Linked DNA regions of Alligator mississippiensis. The protein of the gene in region 1 interacts with the protein of each later gene in a biochemical or structural test. Links are inferred from orthologs where the notes say so. Each region holds a gene or a part of one and is shown on either strand. Other genes may lie near its edges.

Evidence for each region.
Region 2: of the proteins of SIK2 (region 1) and CRTC2, one has a biochemical effect on the other in vitro, tested with the Homo sapiens proteins (2 studies listed by BioGRID). The link is inferred for Alligator mississippiensis from reciprocal best matches to the Homo sapiens genes SIK2 and CRTC2.

Annotation. Positions count from the first base shown.
Region 1 is NC_081839.1:31,500,084-31,508,289, forward strand, and holds the start of SIK2 (serine/threonine-protein kinase SIK2), read left to right. Parts: upstream 1-4,576; 5' UTR 4,577-4,629; coding exon 4,630-4,779; intron 4,780-8,206. UniProt on the Homo sapiens protein: Serine/threonine-protein kinase that plays a role in many biological processes such as fatty acid oxidation, autophagy, immune response or glucose metabolism.
Region 2 is NC_081838.1:13,053,559-13,061,735, reverse strand, and holds the start of CRTC2 (CREB-regulated transcription coactivator 2), read right to left. Parts: upstream 3,855-8,177; 5' UTR 3,840-3,854; coding exon 3,654-3,839; intron 1,203-3,653; coding exon 1,101-1,202; intron 612-1,100; coding exon 495-611; intron 299-494; coding exon 237-298; intron 1-236. Other genes in the region: SLC39A1 (zinc transporter ZIP1), read right to left, coding at 5,568-6,257, 6,686-6,816, 7,753-7,951. UniProt on the Homo sapiens protein: Transcriptional coactivator for CREB1 which activates transcription through both consensus and variant cAMP response element (CRE) sites.

The DNA.
Region 1 (8,206 bases):
CACTTCTGGCCATTTGCTGAGATAGCTGATCAGGCCCATGGCATCATGGCCTCAAGGGGAACATTGTTAAATGGTCACATGAAGTCAATCATGTGCTTTTTCCATGCTGAACTGGGGAAAGATATGGTGATGATGGTGTGTGGGTCACGGAGGTCTTGTTAAGTGATTGACAGGTAACACAAGACTTTAAAGCAACCTCCACTTGAGCATCCATTGCTGGCCATAGTTATAGAGCTCATGGCTGTTGGTTTGTTCTAGTTCATATCAAAAGCAAGGTGTCTGTGTTTTGCCTGTAGCTCCTCTGTAATAAAAAGTTGGTGTGCCCCACATCCATCTAGGGAAAGATGGCTCTGTAGCCTAACACATACCAGCTAAGCTGGGTCTAGGCGTTTGGCATTATTTGACTGTTGCATTGTCAGTAATTCTCAGTATTTGTTGAGCAAGAAGCTTTGAATACTCCTTTGGTCAATGCAGAAATCATACTTGTGAGAACTGCAGTTACTTCCAAGCAGGAATCTGGTGACAATACAGGCAAGAGGAGCACAGCGCTGTCACACTTCTGGTTCCTGGCCTGTGCTCCTCCTCCTGTATAATCCCACCGACCGCCTGGCAATGTGCATTCCTATTTGGCCGAGCCCTTTTGCTTTAGCAGTGCTGCCAAAGGGCTGTGTGCACTGTGCACAGTTTGAAGCTGTGGTCCAAAGGCTACCCCCCTATTTTTCTGTAGCCTATATGCAAAGTAAGTGTTTCCCTTTGGGTGACTTTCTCAGCTCCAGCAAGCTCTCTGAAAGCAACTGCAACAGTCTGTTCAGTGTTGTCATCATGGATCTGGCTAAGTTGGGCTCCAAATCTGCAGTTTGAGACATGAATAGTCACCACAGAAGGTAAAACAGGAGTGCTAGGGTGCTGACCAAAGCTTTTTCCCTTTCAAAATTGGCTTGCCCAGCAGCTGTCCAGGATAAACGTGAGGTCCGTAACAGTCAGGGACGCACTCGGTGATCCACACGTCACCATTACAACCTGCATTTTCTCCTGATTCAGCATGGAAAAAGCTTGTGATTGACTTCATGGGATCATTTAACACTGCTCCAGTTGAGGCCGTTATGCCATCGCCCTGATAGACTACCTTAGCAAATGGCCAGAAGTAATACATCGTGAAAGTCTATTCTACAGCTGAAGCATAGTTTGAAACAAACCTTGCATGCCTTGATGGAAGACCTAAAAAAAAAATGCAATGCTTGAATGTCTTGCTGTGCTAATACCTTTGTAACTGCAACAGCCCAACCTAGGGAAGGTTTTGGTGCATTTTGTGAAATGATTTGCCCAAGAAAGACACCATGTAGAAAGCTTTGATTGCAGGTCTGCCGCAGTGACGTGTTTTCGTATGACCTGTAAGTGTGTGCCATGCTCTTCTGGTGTCTCTTCAAACACGCTGACGACATCCAGATAATACTGAACTCCAGACCGGTCATCAAGGATCACCGACACCATTCCCTGAAGAGCGCTGGGTGATGAGGCACGCCTGCCCGGTCCTCACTTTTAACACAGAAGTCCATCTCTGTGATAAATGCCATGACATCACATTGCCGGGGGTGTACATGCTGTAGATCAAGATCTGAATACATCTTTCTCCATCAGGTTCTCCAAACACCTTCATCTCTATGTGGAAGCGGAGGACTGTCAATGCCGCAGGCTTTATCTGAAGTGCAGGCAGCAAGAATACCTCCAGTCTTTGCTTCCTGTTACGATGGGTGGGACCCGCTCAGCACATTGTTTCTTCAATTATGTCATTCTGTTCCAGTTGTTTGAACTTTTGCATCCAGCGTCTCACAGAGTGGTAAGGGGGAGGCATGGGGGGGGTCATGGTTTTCATTCTGTATCTTTGGCGGGGCCATGCACGCTGCTAGCGATCCCATCGCTGCACTGGAGCAGCTGGAGGTTGTGAGGTTGTGGCTTGACTGTATTGCCGTGGGATTCCCATGCCCATCCTGCTTCATCTCACTTCCTCTGGAGTCGGCAGCAGCTGCCTGGCTGGGCTGGTTCTTGCTGTGCCTTGGCCCAATGCTGTTCATGTAACTAGAGGTGATTTACAGCCTTCTTATCCGAGTAGGAAGTGCCCTGTGAGGTGAGGTACGACCGTTTCCTCTGGGGGTGGATCCCAAATCATTTCATCTGCCAGACTCGCATGTACAACGTAGGTCTGCGGATTCACCCTGCGTCTCGGCACGCGGGCATCGTGCCTGGTGTTCAGCAATGGCATTTGCTTTGGGTATGAAGAAGCTCCCTGCTGCCTGGAGCGCGGTGACATGATTTCCACCTGGGCCCCTGCTCCCGCCTCGCTTGCTTTCCTCGGAGGAAAGAGGCATCAGTCGCTAGCGAGCACCGGCGTTCAGGCACAGCCTCTGAATCAGAGCTTCCTAGACCTTAAATGCTGGAGCCTGCGAGTGAGAGAGGAAGGGGGAAAAACAACCCCGGCCACAGCCTGTTCACTCTCCCTTTCAGCATCTGCTTTCTGCTACTGCGCGATGTGGGGTTTTGTGTTACGAATGTTTCTGAATCTTGGTCCAAATCTGCAGATCTCACTTCCCCTTGGTTTTGTGGCTCGGTTTTCTTAGGCAGCAGCACTGCTTGCACGTTGGGCCAGACCCCACCCCGGGTGCTGGTGACTCCCCCCAGCAGCTTGCTCAGTTCCTCATGGTTGCGGGCGGCTCGCTGGCGGGGGGAGGCTGATGCGAGTTTCCCTGTTGTCGTGCAGCGGTTCAGCCGCCGGGTACCCCCTCCCCGCAGCCAAACAGAGCGGTGCCCCCGCTCCCACTCGCTCAGCAGAGCAGGCGGTGCATGCACACGATATGCAAGGGACCGCAGCCCTGCCCGGGGAAGCCCCAGCCTCAGCCGTAGCCCGGGCCTTGCCTGCCAAGCCCAGATGTGCTTTCACTCTTAAGGGATGCTGCCCTTCTGCAGAAGGAAAAGCTGGGCCAGATGGACCCAGTAAAAGACAGCTCCTTTGTCGTCCTCAGCAATCCCTCGGTTCGAGGATGATCTCTACTGTGGTTCATAGATGGGTCTTGAGGCGAGTCCAATCCTCGAGCCAAAGACCCGGCCGCAGAAATTGCAGGTCTTCCTACGGGGAAGGGTAGGCTGTAGGCGAGGATTTCTCTGCTTTCCTTTCCTCCGCTCGCTCTTCTCCGCTTCGAGGGCGAGATGCTTTACCTCAAAACGGGATGCCGCTGGAGTTGGTTGGCAGCCAGATCCCCCTACTCGCCACGTCGGCATCCGTGCGCTTGAGGTCTGCCGTCGGGCGTCCTCGTAGCTGTGTCTTCCCGGGGGGGGCGATGAATCAAGCCACAAAGGAGCGATTTCCCAAGGGAGGCGCTGGCACGCCGGATCCGTGTCAACGTTGGTGCCCAGAGAGGCGGCCGGCTGCGGAGGTGGGGGAAGTGCCTCGGGCTCCATCCAGGAGGAGCGCGCGCCGACTGCAGGCGCTTCCCCAGCCTGACGAAGGGCGTTTGTGCCCGAAAGCTTGCAAAGAAGAATTTTTCCAACTGTTGGCGCTGGTCTAATAAAAGAGATCGGATTTACCCAGAGCCTCGTGCGCCGGTGGCCTGTGTCCCGCAGGTGTCTCTGCTCCTGTTCGCGCGGCGGCCGGGCGCTGCGAGCCTGGTCGGGGCCCGGACAGCAGGGACTGAGGGGGGCAGGGGCCTCTCTCCACCAGCCCTGAAGGGGGGGGGCACGCGCATGTGTATGTGTGCAAGCAAGTGTACAAGCCCCCTTTGCACCAGCCGTGGAAGGGGGACATGCGTGTGCGTGTGTGTGTGTGTGCAAACCCCTTTGCAGAACCCTGGAGGGGGGGCACGTGTGCAAGCAAGTGTGCAGGCCCCCTTTGCACAGCCCTGGAAGGGGGACATGTGTGTGTTTGTGTGCATGTGTGTAACCAAGTGTGTGAGGCCCCTTTGCATCAGCCGTGAAGTGGGGATTAATGTGTGTGTGTGTGTGCATGCAAGTGTGCAAGCCTCCTTTGCACTAGCCCTGGAGGCGGGACGTGTGTGTGTGTGTGTGTGTGTGCAAGCCCCCTTTGCAGCACTCTGGAGGGGGGGCGCGTGTGTGCAAGCAAGTGTGCAAGCCTTCTTTTGCACTAGCCCCGGAGGGGGGACATGTGTATGTGCGTGAAACAAGTGTGCAAGCCCCCTTTGCAGAACCCTGGGGGCTCATGTGTGCAAGCAAGCGTGCAAACCCCTTTTGCACCAGCCCTGGAGGGGGGGGGACGCATGCGTGTGCAAGCCTCCTTTGCAGAACCCTAGGGGAAGGCGCATGTGTGCAAGCAAGCGTGCAAGCCCCCTCTGCAGCAGCCCTGGAGGGGGGGGCACGTGCGTGCGCGTGCCCGCGTGCAATCCCCTGGGCCCCAGGGGCGGGGAGGGGAGCCCCGGCGGGAAGAGCCCGGGGAGCCCCGGCGAGGCGGGGGGGAACAGCTCCGCGGCGGGGGCTCCGGTTGCCATGGCGAGGCGCCGCCCCCGGTGACGCGCGCGGTGACGCGGGGGGGGCGGGGCGGGGCGCGCGGCGGCCGGGCGCCGCAGACGGAGCGGGAGCGGGAGCCGAGCGGAGCCGCCGCCGCCGCCGCCGCGAGCGCCGAGCATGGTGATGGCCGAGCCCCGGCGGCCCCCCGCGCTGCTGCCCCGCGGGCCCGGGCCCGTGCGCGTCGGCTTCTACGACATCGAGGGCACGCTGGGCAAGGGCAACTTCGCCGTGGTCAAGCTGGCGCGGCACCGCATCACGCGCAGCGAGGTCAGCCTCCCCCGCCCCAGCCCCAACGGCCACCACGGCTCCTGCCCCCCAGCCCCCGCGACAGCACCGCCACACAGTTATTTTGGGGGGGGTTTAATTTGTGCTCGGGTGGATCGGGACGCGGCGTGCGGGAGGGACCGGGGTGTCCTGCCCCCCCCCCAGCGCCGGGGTTTGCACCCTGCGTTTTAACACCCCGCCGTAACGGGGCTCGGTTTTCCAGGGTGACAAAGTTTTGCATCTAAAGACGGGGATTTTTTCCTGCTCTTTTCACCGGTGAGATGGACGTGGGGCGCCGGGGCGCCCTGCAGCGAGAGGACAGGACCAAGCGTGGCCTGGCTGGTGGGGTGGGTCGGAGGAGGGAGGAGAGGAAAATAACTTTTTAGGAAGGGCAGAGGGCCGTCCCACCTGAGCACGGCACAAGTTGGTCGCGACGCTGGGCCCCGCACGAAAGGGACCGGGCGTCGCGCTCGGCCGAGCGGCTCTTCCCGGCGGGAAGACGCTCCGATTTCCAGCCGGACCGTCGTCCTTGCGTGTCCTGGGGTCGTTCGCTCCCCAAGTCGCCCCCTTGCACAGCCGGCGGGTCTCCGTGCAGCTCGCGATGGGGGACACGTAGCTTGTATCGGGCTTGTATCAACGTTTTCCTTGCGTGTCTGCACTGCAGGAAATGCCGCGCTCCGTTTCTGTTGAGACTCGTTTGGAAAAATCATTTTAGAAAAGTCTTTCCTTATGTGAGAGTCTCCTCCGTTTTCCGGCCCCGGCTCACGCGTTATGCGCCGGGTTCCCTTCCTTGCAGCCTGGGTACCTTGGGGCTGCCTGTTTACTGGAGGCAGTCGCTTCGTTTGTTTGTGCACTTTGTCTTCACTTCCACCGAGTCAACGAGTCTGGCAAACCCAAGCTTATTTTCCAGTCCAGTTATTTAGCAAGCTCTGTATGTGGGGAGTACCTGAGCCTTGACTGCCGTGCAAAATCCGGCCTGCGCTTGAGAAGCTGCGCGCCGGATTTGTGCCTCGCAAACATCAGCCATAAACCGAAAACTCAATATTGCTAGCGCCAGATAAAAGTGAAATGCAAACTGAACCAGCATGAGTGCATTAGAAGGGAAAGTAGGCTTGAAGGTAGATATGCAAATGAGTTTTGCATTAAACGTGAAACTTTATATTAATGCAACACTTAAACATGGGTAATTAAGCACTTGAGTGAAGAAAGTTGACAGGAATGAAGGAGTTGCATTTGTAACAACAGCGGGTAGTTCAGCGCCCTTCTTCCAGCAGGATCGTTGAACGAGGCTGCCTTGTATTCACAACCTTTTGTTCTGCTTATTGTCTGTACTTCTTAGGCTCTGAAGTTTGTAACAGGTCCTTTCATGCAGCCTGTGTTGTATCACAGGATGTTTCTGTGATCAGAGGATGAGTTGGCTAATGAAGTATCCACCAAGGAGCAGAACTTATGGTTTTGCTCAGGACAGAGGCGAAAATAAGTCCACTGGAGGAAACCAAAATAGCCGAGAGGCATAGAAAAAACACCCATGAGAGGGACATTTAGGAAGATTAGAGCTACTTACTTTTCGAGGAGAGTAAATGGTGACAAGAACCCTAAAATAATAGGTAAAACCCAGTCTCCTCTTGTTTACTGTCTCCTAAGAGGGAGCAGACACCAGCTGCAATACGAGCAATACACTTCTCGCGTGCCGCTTATCTTCATTTGGGTTAAGTGTACAGGCACTCTTGGGCCCCAGTGCCTACCCTGTAACCTAATTGTGCTTCTGTTGTACTCTGTTTAAGTGCATAATTGGTGAAATTTGGACCAGGAGCTGTCAATTTTGAGGCTTCTGAAGAAGCCCCGCACTGACTGGGTCCTGTCAGTTTTGAGGCTGCTATTAGAGGCAAAAGGCATTCTGAGAAACAAAGTACGGGACCTTAATGAGATCTAAGAAGCGTAGCGTAGGCTGCTGCGGCAGTTAATGAGCATGGTGTGTAATGAGTTCAGGTAAGTGCAGAAACTTTTTTTTTTATTATTATTATTATTATTATTATTACTATTAATCCTTAGGTTATGCACTTTAAATAGTCCCCGGTACTTAAAAGTGTAACTAACCCATGGAACTGCCTCCCCAAAGACTGAGTCTGAAAGCTGTCTAAGGATGAGTACATGATGATGTTAGCTATGGTGTGGTGCAGGAGAATAAACACTTCTGACTAATCAGGTCTCTGGGTTCAGGATATAAGCCAGCCACCAACTGCCAGAACTTGGAAAAACTTCTCCGCTAGGCATGTGGTACCTAACTGTCTGTTCGATGTGGTTTGCACCTTACAGTGAAGCATCTGGTGATGGCTTCTGTAGGAGATGGGATACAAGATGAGACGGGCCTTCCAGCGTACTTCCGAATGCATAGCGGTGTACTACTCAGTACGTGGAAGGATAGCACCTTTTTTCCTACCTTCACTGTGCCTCTCAGTTTGGTTTATATCCAGAACAAATTGATCCAAAATAGCCTAGAACTGATGTACCTGCCTTTGTGCAAACCCTTAATGCAGAACTGCCGCAGCGTTGCAAAATGGGCTTGCACCAGCATGACTTAATCCAGGTGTGAATAAGTCTTTAATGTGGTGCATCTTTAGTAGAGATTTGTATCAGGTTAACTATACTAGGCATAACCTAGTTAAGGGATAGGGCCTAAGGCTTTTGGCTGGCATATGCAACCCACACATCACCTGCAAATAAGAGAAATTGGGGGCTTTTTTTCTGTGTCATAAGGCCCTGAAGGGTCTTCAGAATATTTTGTGCTTGAGTAGTTTCAGGGCTTATTTTTCCCGAAAGACTCTGGGTGGCTGGAGAACTAGAAGCATAGCGTCCAGACTAAAGAGAAACCAAGAGGTTGTGGAGCAGCCAGATTTCGAACCCAAGACTAGCACTTTGGTTTGACATCTCTTTAAAGCTAGATGTCCAGCGGTTTCAGTTCCCTGCCCTTCCTGTCCAGGGTGAAGGCAGCTCCCACTCCACTTCTCTAAGCCTCCAATAAGAACAAGATAGGAAATGATGATCCTGACATTTCTATGTTTAAAAAGCAAGAAGTATTTCAAAAGGCCTTCAAGCTTTTAGACTTCTTTAAACAGAAAAATAAACAAGGGCGCAATGCAGCAGTGTTTTTTGCCTTTTCAAGTCACCTTTCAGGTTGTTTTAAAGCCCATAGTTACCCTAAATCCTGAAGTTCTTGTGATACTGGGGGGAAAGACTTCTGCAATCAAAAGTGATTTGTAGCCTGAACAAGACCCATCTGCAGGAATCAAGAGACTTGCATCGTTGTCCTGAATCGGACGTGTGCTCTGGGTGGTGGCTTGTGCACGTTGGCCACGCTAGAGAAATGAGAATTCACTTGTGCATCGTGTAAGCCTTTATGTGCTGTTTTTTCAAGATTAGCGCTGCATTA
Region 2 (8,177 bases), on another chromosome or scaffold:
CACCACCAGCATCAGTGACAGAATAGGACACCTCTGCCCCAGGAGCACGCCAAGTAAGAGCCACCTGTTTAAAGGGGCCTGTTCCTCAAACTAGGAAATGTTTGAGGGCATGGCAGCTCCCAGCGCCTGGGCTGCAGGAGCCTCTCATGGTTGGCACCGGGGACCAGGCCCCAGGGGACAGGTGGGAGGTACAGGGAAGACCCTGCCCCTGGACTGCACGCGGGCACAGGGTTTACCTCCTCCAGCTGGGCTCCGGTGGGGGTGACAGATAGGCTGGGCTGTAGGGAGAGCTGTCAATGTGAAAACAGAGTTAAGGACCACATGGGGAGAAGTGGCGTTGGGCAGAAGAGGGGGAAGGGGCCATAGGCACAGTGCATCAGCACGTGACCCCAGCCAGCACTCTGCCCACACACATTAATCCCTGAGACCCAGAGGGGAGCCGTACACATGAGGAGGCAGCACCATCACCCCCCACAATGCATGTTAAAGGATATCTGCCGCATGTATCGGCGCAAGGGCGACATCATCCGGCGTGGGTCCCGCTGCACCCGCTCCACCAGGCCGTGGTGCCGCGTGCTGCGGGCCGAATCCAAAGGCGAATGCAAGGGGCCCTGCGGGGACACAAGGGGATGTCAGAAAGGGGGAGTCAGAAAGAAGGCATGGCCACAAGGGTGGGGGCCACAGCAGAGGGACAGCCGCTGCCCCCCCTTCCCATCCTCTCTGCCAAGGAACATTGCCAAGGCACCTGCAAAAGACCTCTTCTCTGCTCCTACCAAGCACACGCCATGGATGGCAGCACCAGGCCCCACAGATGCAGGGAGTAGGGTCATGCCCACAGAGGAAGACAGGGGAGTCCTGGGCCCTGCGGGCACCTCCTCCCCAGGCTGGAATTCACAGCTCTCTCCAGGCCTGCCCCTTCCCCTCACTCCACGCTGCCAGGTCCAGCAGCACATGACCCTACCCGGAGCCCCTCCATGCAGGCCTCCAGCCCTTCACTGCTGCTGGGTGTGCTCTTTGGGGAGGAGGGGAGTCTGCCAGCAGCAGACAGTGTAGGGCCTGCCCATGCCTGCACAGGAGCCCTGGGGCCCAAGAGCGCTTACCTGGAACTCAGACACGCCGCTCCCGATCTGGTTGACATTGGGCAGTGAGCCACTGTAGTAGGGTCCCCGGCTGTGAGCCAGCCTCAGCTTCTGGGCCTGCAACTGGACAAGAGGGGACAGGGCTTAGGTTAGAGTGCACAAAACGCAGCATGTGAGGCTGCCCCCCAGGACCACCGTGCTGCGGTGCCTTTGCCACCCACTGCCCATTCAGAAAGAGGAAGTTGGGCTGGGCCCTCACGTCAGTACCCGCGTGGCTCAGCCAGGCAGCAATCCATAGACAAGCACGCAGAGGGCCTGAGAGCAGCTCTAGTTCCTCCTAGAGCCAGGAAGGAAATCCAGGCTTTCTGACCCCTGGCTGGCAGGTGGCAGCACCCTGTGCTGGACCTGCCCACCAGCCCCTTGAAGCCGCCTCCCCATGGTGCTGGTAAGCCTGCAGCAGGTGGAACAGGGGACTCCCACTTTTAAACTTTGGAAGCTACCCGAAGAGTGAAGAGCAGGGTTGGGGCAGGAAGAGGCTTCACATGCAGAAGCCTGCTCTGCTCCTGGGCACACAGGCCCAGGGCTAACATCTTTTCCCAGAGCTGCGGCCCCAGGAGCCCCAGGGTGGCACGCAGGGGAGCATGGGGAGAGGGGTGCGTCCGGAGCAGGCAGATGGCACTAAGGAGGCCCAGGTCTGTGTAGCCAGACCCCACCCCCAGCCCCAGGGAAGGCCACCCAACTGGGCAGCCAGATAACGGGCTGGCCTTCGGGCCTGCTGTTCGGAACGAGCCTACGGGGAGGTTCTGTCCAGGGCTGGGCCCAGCCTCACTCCCTTGTGGGGCAAGTGGGAGACAGCATGTTGGCACAGGAGGATGCAAACCCCAGACCCACCTCCAGCCAGACCAGATGTATGGGTAAGTCCAGAGCCCAGCTGGGCCCTCTGCTGCTGAGGGGCTGACCCCCTAGCCCCCTCGTGTGCCCCTTCAGCCCATCAGAACTCCCCAGAGGTAGGCACACCACACACTGTGGTGGCCCCCAAGCCCAGGACCCCTGTGCAACACCCCCTCTGCCTCGCTGAGCAGAAGAGCTTGCTGTAGCCACATCCACTGTCAGTGGAAGCCCGAAATCAAGGCCGGGCGAGGGCGGGGAAGTCTGGCAGGAGGGAGTCATTGCAAAACCACAGGCTGGAGATAACGGAGTCCATGCCCGGGAGGGGGAAGCCCAGAGGAAACCAAACGCCTGTGGTGCCATTTCCAGGAGCAGGGTAGGACCTAGGGCACCCTAGGCAAGGAGCTCCCTAGGCAGCCGCTGCCCCTGGCCTGTCACAGGAGAGCTGGGCAGCACTGATGCAGGTCAGGGGCCACACCTGGGCCCCATGTTGAGGGCATCAAGCTGTGGGGCAAGGGACAAGCCTGGCAGATGCCACATCCCCAGTAGGGACACTTTGCTCTGGGAGCAGCCCCTTACCAACCCCCTGGGGCCATGCAGGCAGCCAAGACAGGCCTGAGCAAGGCACGAGCATGCAGGGCGAGCCAGGCTTCCTGGACCAGACCCTCTCCTCCTGGCCACCGGGTTATGGCTGTGGGGGGCGAGAGGGAGGGCCCAGCCGCGGCTCTGGAAGGGGCACGCGCTGCCCCGAGCCCTGCACACAACAGACACTGCACCACTGCCAGTGCCCAGGCCAGGAGGGAGCCAGCACCACTCTGCCCGCACGAGCAACACCAAGATCAAGCGTGACAATGCCCAATTCAGCCCGGGGTCTGCCAGGCACCCGCTCGGGGATGCTGCTGTCTGCACACAGCCCCAGGGCCAACTGCAGAGCCAGCTCTGCTCAGTCCCGGCCCAGACAGTCCTTAGGGCTGGACATGGGGCCTGAGCCCCCTTCCCGCGGCTGGCACATTCCCCATGCCAAGCCCGGCAGCCCCTCCAGCCAGGCGAGGGCCTGCCCCTCCATGGAAGACAGCGACTTCCTCATCGTGAGAAGCAGGAAGGCGTTTGCCGTGACCCACATCCCGGGACGCCGCGGCTGCCGCTTCCAGGGCAAGCTGCGGAGCTGCCATTGGGCCTTGCCCGGTGCGCGCCCACCTGCGTGGGAGGGAGCCGCTGACTCCCCCAGCGCCCACCCACTCCTCCGCCTCGCCTCCAGCCCGGCCCCACGGCGCAGAGCTCCCAGCCAGGATCCGGACCCCGGCACGGGGAGGTTTAGCCGCAGCTGCCTCCGGGGGACTGGGGGCCGTGGGGGGTCCCACGAGTTGGGGAGTCTTGTCCGGAGCCCTAGACGCGGCTTAGGGCAGGGTCCCAGCGGCGGGTCCCGGACTGCCCCGGGGGGCGCCGCCACCGAGCTGGTGGAGGATCCTGGAGGAGCACCCCCGAGCCCGAGCCCAGGCGGCCAGGCCCGGCACGTGGCGGGGACACCTGCCCGCGGCCCCTCCCCGGGGGCCTGTGCCCGGCCGCGGCGGGCGGCCCCGGGCCCCACGTGAGCGGGGGTTGTTGCGCAGCCCCGGCCCGACCCGGCCCCCGCGCATCCGCGTTGCCATGGCAGCGCCGCCCCGGCCCCGATCCGGCGCCGCTCACCCGGGTGGAGCCGATCTCCATCATCACCTCCTCGAAGGCCGCGGTCTCCTCCGCTTGCCGCTGCTTCTGCAGCGCGATCTTCTCGCTGAACTTGCGCGGGTTGGAGGCGCCGGCGCCGGCCGCGGAGCCCGGCCCGGCCCCAGCCCCGGAGCCCCCGGCCCCGGCCCCCGCGCCCGCCGCCGCCATCTTCCCTGCTCGGGCCGCTCCGCCGCCGCCGCTCGCAGGGCCCAGGCCGCGCCGCGGGGCACGACGGGAGCGGGAGTTCCGGGCCGGGGCGACCCCACCCGCGCCGCGGGGCCGAGGGGCGGAAGCGGACTCCGAGTCCCAGCGGCCCCCGCGCGCGCCGGAGGGAAACACCGCGGGGGCCGCCGGGAGCCGCAGTGCGCCGCGAGGGGAAGCGCCTGGGCCGGGCGGGGCGCGCGGACTACAGCTCCCGGCGTGCCCCGCGCGCCCGGCCCAGCACGGCGGCCTGCAGGGGGCGTCAGACCGGTGTTCGCGGAACACCACGGATACAGCGCGAAGTGGGTGCAGCGCCGAGCACCCCACCCGGCTGTTAGGCGAGCCCCTGCCTGCACGGCTCCTCGGCCACACCGAAGTCCCCTGGGGCAGCTGGGAAGCGACCACCCCCCACCAGCCCCGGTGCCCCCCAGCCGGGCCGGACTTCACAGCCAGGAGCATCCCCTGGGGCTGAGCGCAGGCGCTGGGCTCCGCGAGGCACAGACACGACGGAGACAGCAATGCAGAAAGTCATTTTATTGGCACCCCCGGGGCTGTCGGAGCAGCCCAGGGGCGGAGAAGGGTGTTAGTAAAATAGACTCTGTGCCCGCACCTGGGGCTTGCTTAACAAGGGGCAGGCTGGAAAATAGCCTGGGAAGGGGACTGAGAGCGTAAAAAAATAGTGCCGTGGGCTCCCAAGGGCCACGGCAGCACTTCCACCAAGGGCAAGAGCCCCCGGGGCCTGGGGCTTGCTGCCAGCCGTGGGTCACTGCAGCGCGGGTGGGACCTGGCGGGGGGAGCAGGCGTCGCCTGGCTGATTCCCAGGGATCGCCCCCACCGCGGCTCCATAAAGTCTCCACCCCAAAGCGCTTCCCAGAGGTCAGGATCGTGGGCCCCATTTTAGAGGGGGAAACAGGCCCAGAGCAGCGAGGGGACTTGCCCAAGGTCATCCTGTGGGCCGGTGGCAAAGACGGGGGAGCCCAGGTCTGCTAAGAGCCAGACAGGGACCCAGCCAACTTGTTACAAACAGCACTCAGCTCTGCCCGGCTGCCACCCTGACCAGCCTGGCACGTTCCCCGCCCAGCCCAGTGTCATTGCAGCTGCCAGTGAGAACAAGCAGAGAAACCAGCAGCTGCAGCTGGTGTCCTGCCTCCTCCTGTGTTATTGGACAGCCTGAGCCGAGGCCCGTGTCCCAAGAGAGTCACAGGCCCCGATCCTGGGCTCAGGCCCTTTGTCCCTCTGTCAGTGGCCCCACATGGTCCGCAGCTTTGGGAAGGGCGAGGGAAGTTTGGCACTTAAACACGAAGGGTACAGGGGTGGCTGGGCAAAGCCCACAGCGCGCACCAGACTCTGGAGTGCTGCTGTGACCAGGGCTGCTCTGGCCCTGGGGGCACTGGGTCTGGCCTGCGCGCTGCAGGGGCAGGCCCCTGAGCCCCCAGGGTGATCCCCCACTGCAGGCAGGGGGTGATGGGCCAGTGAATGGCCCGACCCTGGGTCTGTGGCCCTGGCTTGGGAATCCCCTGCCCATGGGAGTCTGCGGGGAGGGGATTCCCAAGCCACAGGACAGGTGACGTAGGCTCCCTGCAACCCCATCGCGCGCACACACACACACACACACACACACACACACACAGCTGACTGCACCCCCAACCCTTGGTGCTGCAATGAGCTGTGTGCACTACCCACAGGACCCTCCAGTCAGATCTTGATGAAGAGGATGCCGGTGACGAGGGCAAAGCCGGCGATGAGCAGGATGACCTTGAGGATGCGCTGCTCCGGGGAGCCGAGCTCATGGGGCAGGATCTCCAGGAAGGTGATGTAGACGAAGGTGCCGGCTGCCAGCCCCTCCAGCACGCTGCGTGAGAGCTGTGGCAGTGCGGCCGCTGTCTCCGTCAGTGCCACGCCCAGCCCAATGCCCAGTGGGGACATTAGGGCGAAGAGCAGCAGGCAGCCGACCACGGCGCGCGGGTGCAGCTGACCTTGTAGCAGCTTCAGCGAGAGGCTGAAGGCCACAATGCACTTGTGGACCAGCAATGCCAGGCAGATCTCGAGGGCCTTGGCACCAGCCTCCTGCAGCCCCACGGCCAGACCCTCAAAGACTGAGTGCAGCGAGAGTGCCAGCACCAGCGCGAAGGACCGGATGGCTGAGTGCGCGTTGAAGTCGATGTGCACGTGGGGCCGGTCAGGGCCAGGGCCATGCGCTGAGCGCAGGGGCCCATCCGACCAGGGCTGGGCCTGCACAGAGCCATCTTGCGATGAGCCCCCCAGCAGCGCCTGTGTTTCCTCCAGGGAGCCTGCCTGGTCCCTGTAGGCCAGCACGATCTGCTCCATCACCAGCACCAGGAAGAAGCCCATAGCCAGGATGAATTCCTGCAGGGGGAACTGGAGCTGCGAGGGAAGGGGTAGGAGCCACATCAGCAGGGGGAGCATGGCTCAGCCCTCGCAGCAGCCCCTGCACAGGGAAGGGGGAGCAGAGGGGCCAGAGCAGCCAATGCATCACTGCTGAGAAGCAGAGTCCACCCGGGGCTGCCAGGAAGCTGCTGGGAGAAGGGCGGGGGCGGGAGGCAGCTCCAGTGAGTCACCCTGGAGAGCGGCTGGAACAGGGCCTCCTCCCAGCCTCCACCGGGGATCGCACCCGGTCAGGCAGCAAGCTGGAGCCGACAGCCGTCCCCAGGGCAGCCTTCCGCCCCTTTCCTGCCCTGCCAACCCCTGCCCAGGGTCCTCCATGCCCCTGGGAGCCCCCTACCCCACACACACTGCCCCAACACACATAGCCCAGGTGCAGGGAAGGGGGAAGCTGCTCCGCACAGGCTCACCGTGACTCTCAGGTTCTCCAGCGCCTCATCAATGCCCTCCAGGTAGTCGGGGATCAGGTCCAGGAGGCAGGTGGCCAGAAACACACCACCCGCAAAGCAGCTTACCAGGCTCAGGAACCTCCTGCGTGCGTCTGTCCAGAAAAGGGTTGTGGGGGGATGCTGACGCAGTTCACTGCCCCCACCCCTGAGGCAGCCAGCAGCGAGGTCCCTGGCCAGGGATCTGGCTGCAGAGCTTCAAGGGCCTGCACCCTTCACCTGCCCCCAGGGCCAGGGGAAATGCCCCAGCCCAGTGTTACCCAGAACACAGGCCATGCATCCACAGCCTGGGTGCAAAGCGGTGCCTCCTTTCCCTAGTGATGCCTGGCACAGCACATGCTGTGGGCAGGGGGGTGACCCCAGGCAGGGAAACCCAACACACAACCCCACTGCACCCCGGGGTACGGGCCAGGTTCTGCTGCTGACTCTGCATGACCTGGGTCACACCACTCCCTCCCCCACTCCCAGGCCTCGCTCACTGTCTGTGTAATGGGAGCGGTGCTCCTGCTGGGGGCAGGTCCCCTGCTGGGGCCAGGGCTGGCTCTGCCCAGTAAGCACTAGCAGGATGGGGCCCTACTCTCGAGAGCACCCAGCATTCCCAAACCCGCTCTGTCCAGAATCATGACCTAGAGGAACCCTGGTTCACAGGGTCCAGAGCCTGAGGCCCCTGGACCAACAGCCTAGCCCCGGTTTCCTTCAGGGCACAGGGGCCAATCCCTTAGGGCTCATCTAGCTCCCCATGCACTAAGAGCCCTTCCTGCCAGCGGGGCCAGGTGCTGCTCTGCTGGGACCTCTGTGCTGCAGCCACAGGCATGGGGGCTGGCTCAGGACCAGCCCCAGCTACCAGGACCCCGAGCCACCATGCCTGTCTCTTGGGCTTGGCAGCCAGACATGGTTTCCCTGGAGGCCCAGGTGGTAAAATCATGGCCTGGTTCCTGACCGCAGTCATACCCCCTGCCCTCCCGCTGCCGGCCAGACAGGCCTTGTCCTGGAGACTTCTGGCCCCCCAGGAGCTCTGGCACAAGCCTCACCGGAGGAGCCGGCTGCACTACCGGGGTGCCGGAAGATGCAGAGTGGGGCCAGGCCACAGACGATGGTCAGCAGCAGCAGCGTCACCAGCGACCCCAGCTTCACCTCCAAGCCTGTTGGAGAGCGCTTCACAGCCACGCCAGCACCGGGGCTCCATGCCATCTGCTCTGGGTTAGCCCCAGGGCCCAGCCACACAGGCATGGCTCCAGAGGGAAGGTGGGCAGCTCCCAGCAGGCTGGAAATCTCTTCTGCTGCCGAGCCCCCCGCAGTCGGCTCTGGGTGCCCTCCACAGCCCTGCCCTTAGCTGCCAGGAGCCTTCACTGCCACAGGGGTGTGTCTCATCCTCAGCGTGGCATCCGTCTTCAGCCCTGCAATAGTGGCAGGGTCAGTGGGACCTTTGAGGCCAATGATAGCACTGCCAGGAACG